Arabidopsis thaliana: one gene and its partners. The protein of the gene in region 1 interacts with the protein of each later gene in a pairwise test. Each region holds a gene or a part of one and is shown in the gene's direction. Other genes may lie near its edges. The genes, in order: JAZ6, AT4G16430 and NIG1.

Region 1 (3,757 bases):
TGTAAAACGGACCTACATTCGTAGTCGTTACCCCTAAATTTTAAACAAATTTTATGTTTAGTATTGTCATACGTCAATGCAAATGAGTTGTATAATCTTTCAATATTGTCTTCTAATTTTATTTTATTTTCTGATAAGTACCATTTTATTTATGAAGATAACGACTGTACAGAGAATTCCCACCACAAGCTCAAGCTGCAAGACCAAACTTACCCGAAGACAACCTGTTACAGAGACACGCTAGCTCGTAACACTAGATAGAAAGGAAATCTTACCCAGCTCAAAGATTAAGTCTGAAGCACACCTAACCCAAAACTGTTGACACCATCTTGATTATGTCCATATATGAACTTAGGTCTCAAAACAACAACTATTTATTTGATAAATGTTGATATACTCTATTGCTTAAAGGAGAGTCCAACTTCGAGTGGTGACCGGAAGGTTTCGCCGTTGCCTTTTCTTTTTTGCCGTTAACGTTGGTTTGGTAGTCTTAGTAGAATCTTCTCACAATCTTGATTTTTGCATATCAAATCTGTTAGAATATGACATTCCCTTATTTTGGACATGATCAAATATGTGATCGAAACCCAACTTGCGCTTCCAACAATGTAGATAATCTTCATGTGAAATAGCGAATATTATTTGGTCTTTTGTATGTATTAGAAAATGACAATGGATCTATATTGTGTAATTAAATACACACATACATGTGTATATATTAGACTCAAGTTGTTGTTCAACTCTTGAAATCATATGATATTGAAGAGTCTTCAAAGTTCAAAGTATTATGTTCTCATTTTGCAAGTTGCGATAAATAATTCAATAAAAATGATTTTTTCCCTTGGCGCGATCGTCTACGACATTTTGTTTTAAATTCTTTTTTGGTACTCTTTGGCATTGCCTCTTATTCAAATAAAATTCAACGCTCGACTTCATTGAACAAAACGATTAAAAGATTTTATTATTATTATTGTTATAGAAATAATATTTAACTGAGCAAGTAACAAAATTCATATTAGGACTAAACAGAAATCGTTAACCTTTTACCAACATACAAAACCACAAATTCTAATATTAATTACACTCAGTTTTTGTAATTAAAAACAGAAAAGAAAATTAGGCCTATGAAGTATGAACGCTATAATATCCTTTAGCAAAGAGGGAAAAAAAACGCAAATCATGCATGAAATAAGGTTGGTACCGCCAAGATTCCGACACGTGTTGACATCCTAAACGCACATAACAATACTTCACGTGTCCTTAAACTTTGTCGGGGATAAGTAATTGACACCATTCATCGATAAATATCCACTCACAAGTCGTACTGTTGCTAATGGATCCCACATATTAAATTCGTATTAGCCATCGCAGCCGACGCGAGACTTAACTCCGTCAGAACTCCGTTAGACTATAGCGTTTGCAAATGCCCTCATTTACGCCCTTTAATAACGAATATCCTAACCACCACTAAACGAATTACCTCAGAAGGGTAAATTAGTATTTAACAGAAACTCTTGGGACCCGAATGAATTAAATGGGTTAACGCCTTTATGTAATGTCGCCGTCAACTTACAACAGTTTCTTCACGGCTTGTGCAATGAAAACGTGCCGGAACTTGTAACGAACATTGTAGTTTGATTTTTGTAATCAACCATAGGAATAAATCATTTTTTCCGCATATAATTTATTTCCCTATTTCTATTCGTGACAAAACATTTGAGGATATAGGAAATTAATAGCCTATAATATGTTTGACCATAAAAAGAATTTCTTCTTCTTGAACCATCATAAGAAAAATGTGTGTTTAGTCTATTGATCAGTTTTGTGTTCAAAAAAAAAAAAAAAATGTCTATCGATCAGTTAGGTGTAAAAAAAAAAGTTACAAAACTCGTGACAAAAACATTCTATATTGGACACACATCACTGTCACTTCAGACTAAATAAAAAAAAAGAACACGTTATTTCGTTTTCTTTATTTATTCGGGAGAGGTTAAAAGCCACAGAAACTTATTGGCTAGAATTGGTTATTTATAACAACAACACATGAGCAAAAAGCTCAAAACATCTACATACTCTTTGGAATCCTCGATTTTTTGTACGTGTAAAGAAGTCACACAAGAAAATCTTGGGTTGTTGTAATCTTCATCACACTAGTATGTCAACGGGACAAGCGCCGGAGAAGTCCAATTTTTCTCAGAGATGTAGTCTGCTCAGCCGGTACTTGAAGGAGAAGGGAAGTTTTGGGAATATTAATATGGGGTTGGCTCGAAAATCCGATCTTGAACTCGCCGGAAAATTCGATCTCAAAGGTATTTATTTATTTTTCCCTATCTATTCCGACGGCCGCCGCCTATAAAGACCAAAGTTTATATCATATACTTTTAGTATCCTGCTTCGTTGATTATTAGCATAAAGTTTAACTATATATTTTTTTTGTTGAAATGCAAAATTTTAAATCATTTTTTTCTTTTCTTTTCTTTAAACTTAAGCATGGTATTATTTTGGACAGCTTAAGTATATTAAAGTTAGAGATTCTGTGAAGTTTTTTAAAAAACGTAATAAACATGTAATTTGATTTTGATAAATTTTAATCGGTTTGCAATTTCTGTTCTAATTTGTTTTAGGACAACAAAATGTGATTAAGAAGGTAGAGACCTCAGAAACTAGACCGTTCAAGTTGATTCAGAAGTTTTCTATTGGTGAGGCCTCTACTTCTACCGAAGACAAAGCCATATATATTGATCTCAGGTACTGTACACACAAACTTCATATGTATTCGAACTCCTAAAGTGTTTGTTTTCACATTTTGTAGCAATTGAATTAGAGAAAGAACTACCGGTTATAGATGTATGGACTATGGAGTTTGACTAATTGTAAAAATGGGTTTGATTTGATTTTAGTGAACCGGCAAAAGTAGCACCGGAGTCTGGAAATTCACAGTTGACCATATTCTTTGGAGGAAAAGTTATGGTTTTCAACGAGTTTCCTGAAGACAAAGCTAAGGAGATAATGGAAGTAGCTAAAGAAGCGAATCATGTTGCTGTTGATTCTAAGAACAGTCAGAGTCACATGAATCTTGACAAAAGCAACGTGGTGATTCCCGATCTTAACGAGCCAACGAGTTCCGGGAACAATGAAGATCAAGAAACTGGGCAGCAACATCAGGTTGTGGAACGCATTGCAAGAAGAGCTTCTCTTCATCGATTCTTTGCTAAACGAAAAGACAGGTAAACTAAACTCCGAAACTGTTTTGTGCTTGGTTATGCTTTTTCTAGGCCGCTCGTCAAAATGTATGCATAGATTAGGATCAAAGTTTCTTAAAAAAGTTATATGTAAAAATAGCTAATAATTACCATATTAAGACTTATTCGAGTTATTCTAGGAATCCCACATCGGATTAGAAGCGTATTACCAATCAAGTTTAAGTTGAACATTCATGAAATTGAACATAGGGTGGTCCTAGTATGTTTATGAATTATGATTCCTAGAGTAAGATTTCGAGATGTGACTCAAGTGTCATCATTTATAAAGAACATGTAAAAAATCTTACAAGTTACAATGAAATTCGAGATGGGACCTAGAGTAGTATATAAGAGATATGAGTCCATCATCTATGTGTCCTTGATCTAGGAAAATTATTAGTAAAATGTCGAGAAATTTCTAGTTAAAAAACACTAACTAAGAGTTCTTTGTAAATCAAAACTTCAATATCTACTTTGTCTTAAATGTTGATTAATTGTTTTGATTTCAGGGCTGT
Region 2 (3,757 bases), on another chromosome or scaffold:
AGTAGACTCAAAGTTCTCCACATTAGCCGCATTTTTCTTTTTCCTCGTTCTGCAACAAACGCATAACACGATTCTTTCATGTCAGCTTCAACAGTGAAAAAACAATTACACAGATGAAAACAGAGAAGAGACTACATAGCTACTGAAAGTTTTCAAAAGCAACAAACTTTAAGCGATGCTCATTGTCCCAACTGAAAAATCAATGATTGTTGCACAAAGCAGATGCAAAGAAACTTCAAAATCAATCAATTTCAGCAGAAATTGGCACAATTACATAGATGAAGATAGAGGAGACTATAGCTACTGAAAGTTATCAAAAGCCACAAATTTGAAGCCATGCTCATTGTCCCAACTAGAGATCAATGACAATTGCACAACACAGACTCAAAGAAACTTGAAATTCAAATCAATTTCAGCACAAATTGGCAATTACAAAAGAGAAATCCACAAAAACCCCAAATCGGAAATTAGAGTAGTGAATTAGGAACAAACCTCTGAGTAGGGTCTTCGAAATTTTGGAAGTTCCCTCGAGAGCGACCCATTGATGCCCAAGTAGAAAATTGGATTATTGGGTTATGCGAAACCACAGAGAAGAAGAACCCTAGCGTAATGCCAACATGGGAGACTCACCGGAGAAGATGGAATGGGTACTTGGGGGGGTTTCGTGGAAGAAAGATCTAATCGGAATTCAACAAAACTCGGTCGAAATTTGTGAGGTTTTGGATCTCTACTAATATTATTCAGAAGTTCCGACCGAGAAGATTAAAATTAGGGAAGTCGAGGTAAAGGAAATTTCTAAGGCACTGTACTTTTTAGATTTTTTGGGATTAGACGGTCATGCTTATTACTAAAGCATATGACTTAAACTAAATTGACTCTTATAACTTCAACTTAAAAAACTATTATTTTTTATGTTAATTGTTGAATGGTGGTTGAGGGAAAAAAAAATGAAGAAAAAAAAGCTAAGATAGACCATTTTTATTGGTAATTTTTTATTATTAAAATAATAAAAATAATAAAAGGAAAAGAAAGAGAGTGTAGAATGTTTCTCGTTAAACTATGAAATACTTTATACAAACCATCATAATATTTTTCTCTTTTCAATTGGTTCGCTAAAATAAAAATTTAATCATATATAAAATTATAATAAAATACTAATATTCTTTTTGTTTGAAAAACTGTTTGGGTTTCTTCTTGATGGAGATGTCTTTAATATTTGGTTGGGTTATGGTTATTCGTTTTTAGGTATTTTGTTCATGGACATTTTCAGTAAATGAATTAGCAAGTAAATAAACTTGTATAGGAATAAATGGTTAGTGTTGTCACACACTATCGGAACAACATTATGATGTATTTTAAAATCTTATTGATGCTAATTTGAAAAATTGATTTGGAAGAAGGTTAAGCAAGGAAACAACCATATAAGATAGTTTGATGCTAATTTAAAGTTTCTTATTTTGGTCGAAAATCGAATTATTAGAAATGTTTGAACCTTTTTTATTAGACATCTAGTGATAAATTTTATAAGACTCATGTCAATCGAATAAAAATATCGAATTGTTGTTTTGCTGAACGAATAAGTTTGTCTATATTAGACGCGATTAGTTCTTCTAAACCACATTATCCAAAAAAATCGTGATTGACTACATGGTGTAATGATACCTATCATACCATCTCAAGAATATGGCATGACTCATCCAATTAACAATTGTATTTGCGCATAATTGTAAGATGTGTAAATTCCTTTTCCGCTTATTAACGGTGATTTGCGATAAGTTAATTCAGAAGACGAGTTTCGATTCTCCCATCATAATAGGTTGTACTACGAAATAATTTCCCAACATGTACACATAATCTCGACAAAAATCCAGTGATATGGGTTTACTTGTAGTTGAATAGATATTACACCACAATGACTTGTGGTTTGGTATGTAAGAAAAGGCAAAAGTATAGTTTGCAGTTAAAAAACTGAAGGAAATGATGTCCTTGGTATTAAATTACGATTAAACCCATATTCTCTCTCTCGCATAGTCTCTTCCTCTTTTCTTCTTTCTTCGTCAATTTCAGAACAAGTCACTACAGATCTGAAGTGAACCAAGCTCAGGTTTTGTCTTCTCTTTGATCATTCCTTTCTCAGCAATATAAATTAGAGTTATATCCTTTATAAAGGATTTTGCTTTTTCACCAACAAACCCTAAATTCGGTGTCTCAGCAAGAATCACGTGATTCTCGTTCCTCTTCCTCACGAAACCCATCATCTTCTATCTCATTTGTAAGCAGCGATCTCAATCCAAATACCTTTAATTTTATTTGATTCCATACCCTAATTTTTGTATATTCCATGTCAATGAACGTTTCAGGAGAAATGGGTCAAAAGTTTTGGGAGAATCAAGAAGATCGAGCGATGGTTGAATCCACCATAGGCTCTGAAGCTTGCGACTTTTTCATCTCAACAGCTTCAGCTTCCAACACTGCCTTGTCCAAGCTTGTCTCACCACCAAGTGATTCCAATCTCCAACAAGGGTTACGTCACGTTGTTGAAGGATCTGATTGGGATTATGCTCTTTTCTGGCTAGCGTCCAACGTTAATAGCTCTGATGGTTGTGTCTTGATCTGGGGAGATGGTCATTGCCGTGTCAAAAAGGGTGCTTCAGGTGAGGATTACTCTCAGCAAGATGAGATCAAAAGACGTGTGCTTCGCAAGCTTCACTTGTCGTTCGTTGGTTCAGATGAAGATCATCGTTTGGTGAAATCAGGAGCTCTTACTGATCTCGACATGTTTTATCTGGCTTCTTTGTACTTTTCCTTTAGGTGTGATACCAATAAGTACGGTCCTGCTGGAACCTATGTGTCTGGGAAGCCTCTTTGGGCTGCAGATTTGCCTAGCTGCTTGAGTTATTATAGGGTTAGGTCTTTCTTAGCTAGGTCAGCTGGTTTTCAGACTGTGTTGTCTGTACCAGTGAATTCTGGAGTTGTGGAGCTTGGTTCTTTAAGACATATTCCAGAAGATAAGAGTGTGATTGAGATGGTGAAATCAGTGTTTGGTGGGTCTGACTTTGTTCAGGCTAAAGAAGCTCCTAAAATCTTTGGTCGACAGCTGAGTCTTGGTGGAGCAAAACCTCGGTCTATGAGTATTAATTTCTCCCCGAAGACCGAGGATGACACGGGTTTCTCATTGGAATCGTATGAGGTGCAAGCGATCGGAGGCTCTAATCAAGTGTATGGTTATGAGCAAGGGAAAGATGAGACATTGTATCTAACTGACGAGCAAAAGCCGAGGAAGAGAGGGAGAAAACCAGCAAATGGAAGAGAAGAGGCTCTAAACCATGTGGAAGCGGAACGGCAGAGGAGGGAGAAGCTGAACCAGAGATTCTACGCTTTGAGAGCGGTGGTGCCTAACATCTCCAAGATGGACAAGGCTTCGCTCCTTGCAGACGCAATCACTTACATCACGGATATGCAGAAGAAAATCAGGGTGTATGAAACAGAGAAGCAGATAATGAAGAGGAGGGAGAGTAATCAGATAACTCCAGCAGAGGTTGATTATCAACAGAGGCATGATGATGCAGTTGTAAGGCTAAGCTGTCCGTTGGAAACTCATCCAGTTTCAAAGGTGATACAAACGTTGAGGGAGAATGAAGTTATGCCTCATGATTCCAACGTGGCCATCACAGAGGAGGGTGTGGTTCACACATTCACTCTCCGGCCTCAGGGTGGCTGCACCGCTGAGCAGTTGAAGGACAAGCTCCTTGCCTCT
Region 3 (3,757 bases), on another chromosome or scaffold:
AATAGTGTGGTAAACTATCTACACTTACACAAACAAATTCCTATCAATTCAAAAATAATTTGTGTTAACACAAATAAGATTGTTTCAACAAAATAAAAAGCTTAAGGATGTGATCTTACAAATTAAGTACCCATTTAAAAATGAAGAAAAAGACATTAATGTTGTTAAATAGGATGTGGTGTTAACTTGTCAGTTGCTCCTCCCCACTTTTTCTTGGTCTCCTTATCATTATGCAAGCTCTTCCTTCCACATAAACCCAATAAAGATATGAAATTTGAAAGAAAAAAAAACAAAGATACAAAACAGTGTAATTTCAGATTTTTGTTGTTACATTAATCACTTTAAGTTCAAAATTATGCAACTCTTTTGTCAAATGTCAATATCTAGCATTCACGGCTCCGTCAATAGATTGCGTCATTATTTAAATTTTACAAAATAACTCCATTAAAAAATATAGAAACACAGAATCAATGTTAAGCTTCACCATTACACATAAAAACTAAAATGTCTATTTAAAATCATCATGATGGGGTGCGAGATTAAAGGATTGCATTGCTAACTTTGCCTCTTTACGTTACTTTGGTTAAACCCAATTGTTAAAAGGGAGAAATCGAACATTGGTTATTTGACTTTTGAGTATATTAGTATCAAAATGTATAGGTAATAATGAAAAAAATGAGGAAGTGCAGTGCAACAAAGTCCATTGACATTGTTTTGTTAACCTGATCCATATAGAATTAAAGAGTGATAACAAAAGAAAAAAGAAGAAGAAGAAGAAAGAGTGATAATTTTTTTTTTTTTTTTTTTTTTTTGAAAGAGTGATAACATATATGGGTGAACTAGGTGTATAGCCATAATTGAACAAAAATTAAGAATATAGCCATATAATTTACGTAATTCAGCAAGTAACCAAAAACTCTAACTAATTACAAGTCTATCCCTGCATTATTTCCCTATTTTCCAATTTGCCATGACTCATCATCTTCTTCGTTTTGTTGATCAGATATTGATCTAAAGGTAATATTCCATATGTTCTAAAGGTAATGGATTGTGAATCAGATATTGATCTAAAGGTAATGTTTTTTTAACAGACCTTTTTCATTCATCATCTTCTTTGTTGCTTCTTCTCTTCTCTCCAATCCAACAAAAAATTTCCAGAAAATTTAACTTTTTTATATCAATCCATTCTAATTTAAAAACATCTATTGATTTAAGAAAACTAAACCCTAAGATACTATATATGGAACCCAAACAAAAATAATTAAACTAAATGAAATCATCTCAAGAATCAGTTTTTAGAAATCTGACAAAATCATGTTTATATACTTTTAATCTCTTTTCTCCTTTCCTAAAGCGAATTGAAATCGATTCGATTTTGGGTTTAAATTTGTGTTAGGGATTTTCAATTTTAGATATTGATCAAACCAGAAAATATTCAATAAGATCTTGTGAGTCTTCGTTTTCATTTTTTTCCGTTCTAACTAGCAAATAGAATGGTACAAAATTGAAAGTAAAATAGAAAACTATAGTTCGGTTCTGTTTTAATTAAGTTAAAGTAGAAAAAAAAGATAAGAGGCGAGAGAAGTGAAACAAGCAATGGAAGAGAGGAAGAAGTGATTAAGGTGGTGGTGGTGTGTATGGTGTAGGTCGTAGTAATATTTGTGTTGGTGGTTGCAGTGGTCGTGTGTCAATTGCGGCGGCAATAATGGTGATGGTGGTTGAGATGACAGCGTAATGGTAGTTTCTATGGTGGTGACGATTGCAGTGGTGATGGTGATGATGGTATGACATTTGTGGAAATAATGGTGGATGCGATGATGATGACGGTTGCAAGGGTAATGGTTGTAATAGCATAAAAAAGATGGTGATTGTGTAGATAAGAGTACTTTAGTATATATTATAGTTTATATACAAAATATCATCTCTGTTTTTGTTGTTGGTTAGTTTCTTAATTATAGTTTTTTTGTTAGTCAATTTTGCAAATTTCCCGACATATAATCGTGTTTCATTCAATCCATTTTGTTCAACGACGAAACAATCCCGTTACCTAGAAAAATGTGGTCCTTTTACCTGGTGATAGGTGATAGTGATACATCAGCTATCGCACATGGGTCGTTAAAATTCATGAAAAGAAAACCACAGAAAAATGTAATATTTTCATGCACTCGTGTGAAACAAAATAAAGAGTACACTCTATACTCTATAGTTTCTCGTTTAGTTTAGATATATAAATACAAAGACTTGAGACGACTTCTAATACTCCGGCAACGATGATTAATACCGACGATAACTTATTGATGATCGAAGCTCTCTTGACCTCCGATCCGTCGCCACCATTACTTCCGGCGAATCTCAGCCTCGAGACTACTCTCCCGAAGCGTTTACATGCTGTGTTGAATGGAACCCACGAGCCCTGGAGTTACGCCATTTTCTGGAAACCGTCGTACGATGACTTTTCCGGTGAAGCAGTTCTCAAATGGGGCGACGGAGTTTACACTGGTGGCAACGAGGAAAAGACACGAGGGAGGTTGAGGAGGAAGAAGACGATTCTGTCGTCTCCGGAGGAGAAAGAGCGTCGGAGTAATGTTATTCGGGAGCTTAACTTGATGATCTCCGGCGAAGCGTTTCCGGTGGTTGAAGACGACGTCAGTGATGACGATGACGTGGAAGTGACGGATATGGAGTGGTTCTTCTTGGTTTCCATGACGTGGAGTTTTGGTAACGGATCCGGGTTAGCGGGTAAGGCGTTTGCTAGCTATAACCCGGTTTTGGTTACCGGTTCGGATCTGATTTACGGGTCGGGTTGTGATCGGGCTAAACAAGGAGGGGATGTAGGGTTACAGACCATCTTGTGTATTCCTTCACATAACGGAGTGTTGGAGCTTGCATCCACGGAGGAGATCCGACCAAATTCGGATCTTTTTAATAGGATCCGGTTTCTTTTTGGAGGATCCAAATATTTTTCTGGAGCCCCGAATTCGAACTCGGAGCTTTTCCCATTTCAGTTAGAGAGCAGTTGTTCAAGTACTGTAACCGGTAACCCGAATCCTAGTCCGGTTTATCTACAGAACCGGTATAATTTGAACTTCTCGACGTCATCTTCCACATTGGCGAGAGCTCCATGCGGCGATGTACTGAGTTTTGGCGAGAATGTTAAACAGAGTTTTGAAAATCGGAACCCTAATACTTATTCTGATCAGATTCAAAACGTCGTCCCTCACGCGACGGTGATGCTGGAGAAGAAGAAGGGAAAAAAGCGCGGGAGAAAACCGGCGCATGGTAGAGACAAGCCTTTGAACCACGTGGAAGCAGAGAGGATGAGACGTGAGAAGCTAAACCACAGATTCTACGCATTACGAGCGGTTGTACCAAACGTATCGAAAATGGACAAAACGTCGTTGCTCGAAGACGCGGTTTGTTACATAAACGAGCTGAAATCAAAAGCTGAAAACGTTGAATTGGAGAAACATGCGATTGAGATTCAGTTCAATGAACTCAAGGAGATTGCAGGACAACGAAACGCAATTCCTAGCGTTTGTAAATACGAGGAAAAGGCATCAGAGATGATGAAGATCGAAGTGAAGATTATGGAAAGTGATGATGCAATGGTTAGAGTTGAATCAAGGAAGGATCATCATCCAGGAGCGAGATTGATGAATGCTTTGATGGATTTGGAGTTAGAAGTGAATCATGCGAGCATTTCTGTGATGAACGATCTTATGATACAACAAGCGAACGTGAAGATGGGGTTGAGAAT

What was found.
Region 2: the proteins of JAZ6 (region 1) and AT4G16430 interact in a two-hybrid assay, tested with the Arabidopsis thaliana proteins (one study listed by BioGRID).
Region 3: the proteins of JAZ6 (region 1) and NIG1 interact in a two-hybrid assay, tested with the Arabidopsis thaliana proteins (one study listed by BioGRID).

Annotation. Positions count from the first base shown.
Region 1 is NC_003070.9:27,274,535-27,278,291, reverse strand, and holds the start of JAZ6 (jasmonate-zim-domain protein 6), read left to right. Parts: upstream 1-1,729; 5' UTR 1,730-2,155; coding exon 2,156-2,309; intron 2,310-2,624; coding exon 2,625-2,748; intron 2,749-2,900; coding exon 2,901-3,227; coding exon of another isoform or gene 3,228-3,231; exon of another isoform or gene 3,232-3,751; coding exon 3,752-3,757. UniProt on the Arabidopsis thaliana protein: Repressor of jasmonate responses.
Region 2 is NC_003075.7:9,265,234-9,268,990, forward strand, and holds the start of AT4G16430 (basic helix-loop-helix (bHLH) DNA-binding superfamily protein), read left to right. Parts: upstream 1-2,026; 5' UTR 2,027-2,272; intron 2,273-2,360; 5' UTR 2,361-2,365; coding exon 2,366-3,757. Other genes in the region: ADA2B (ADA2 2B), read right to left, coding at 1-49, 493-542.
Region 3 is NC_003076.8:19,000,449-19,004,205, forward strand, and holds the start of NIG1 (calcium-binding transcription factor NIG1), read left to right. Parts: upstream 1-2,115; 5' UTR 2,116-2,270; coding exon 2,271-3,757. Other genes in the region: AT5G46825 (uncharacterized protein), read left to right, coding at 1,597-1,613, 1,678-1,731, 1,766-1,835, 1,971-2,051.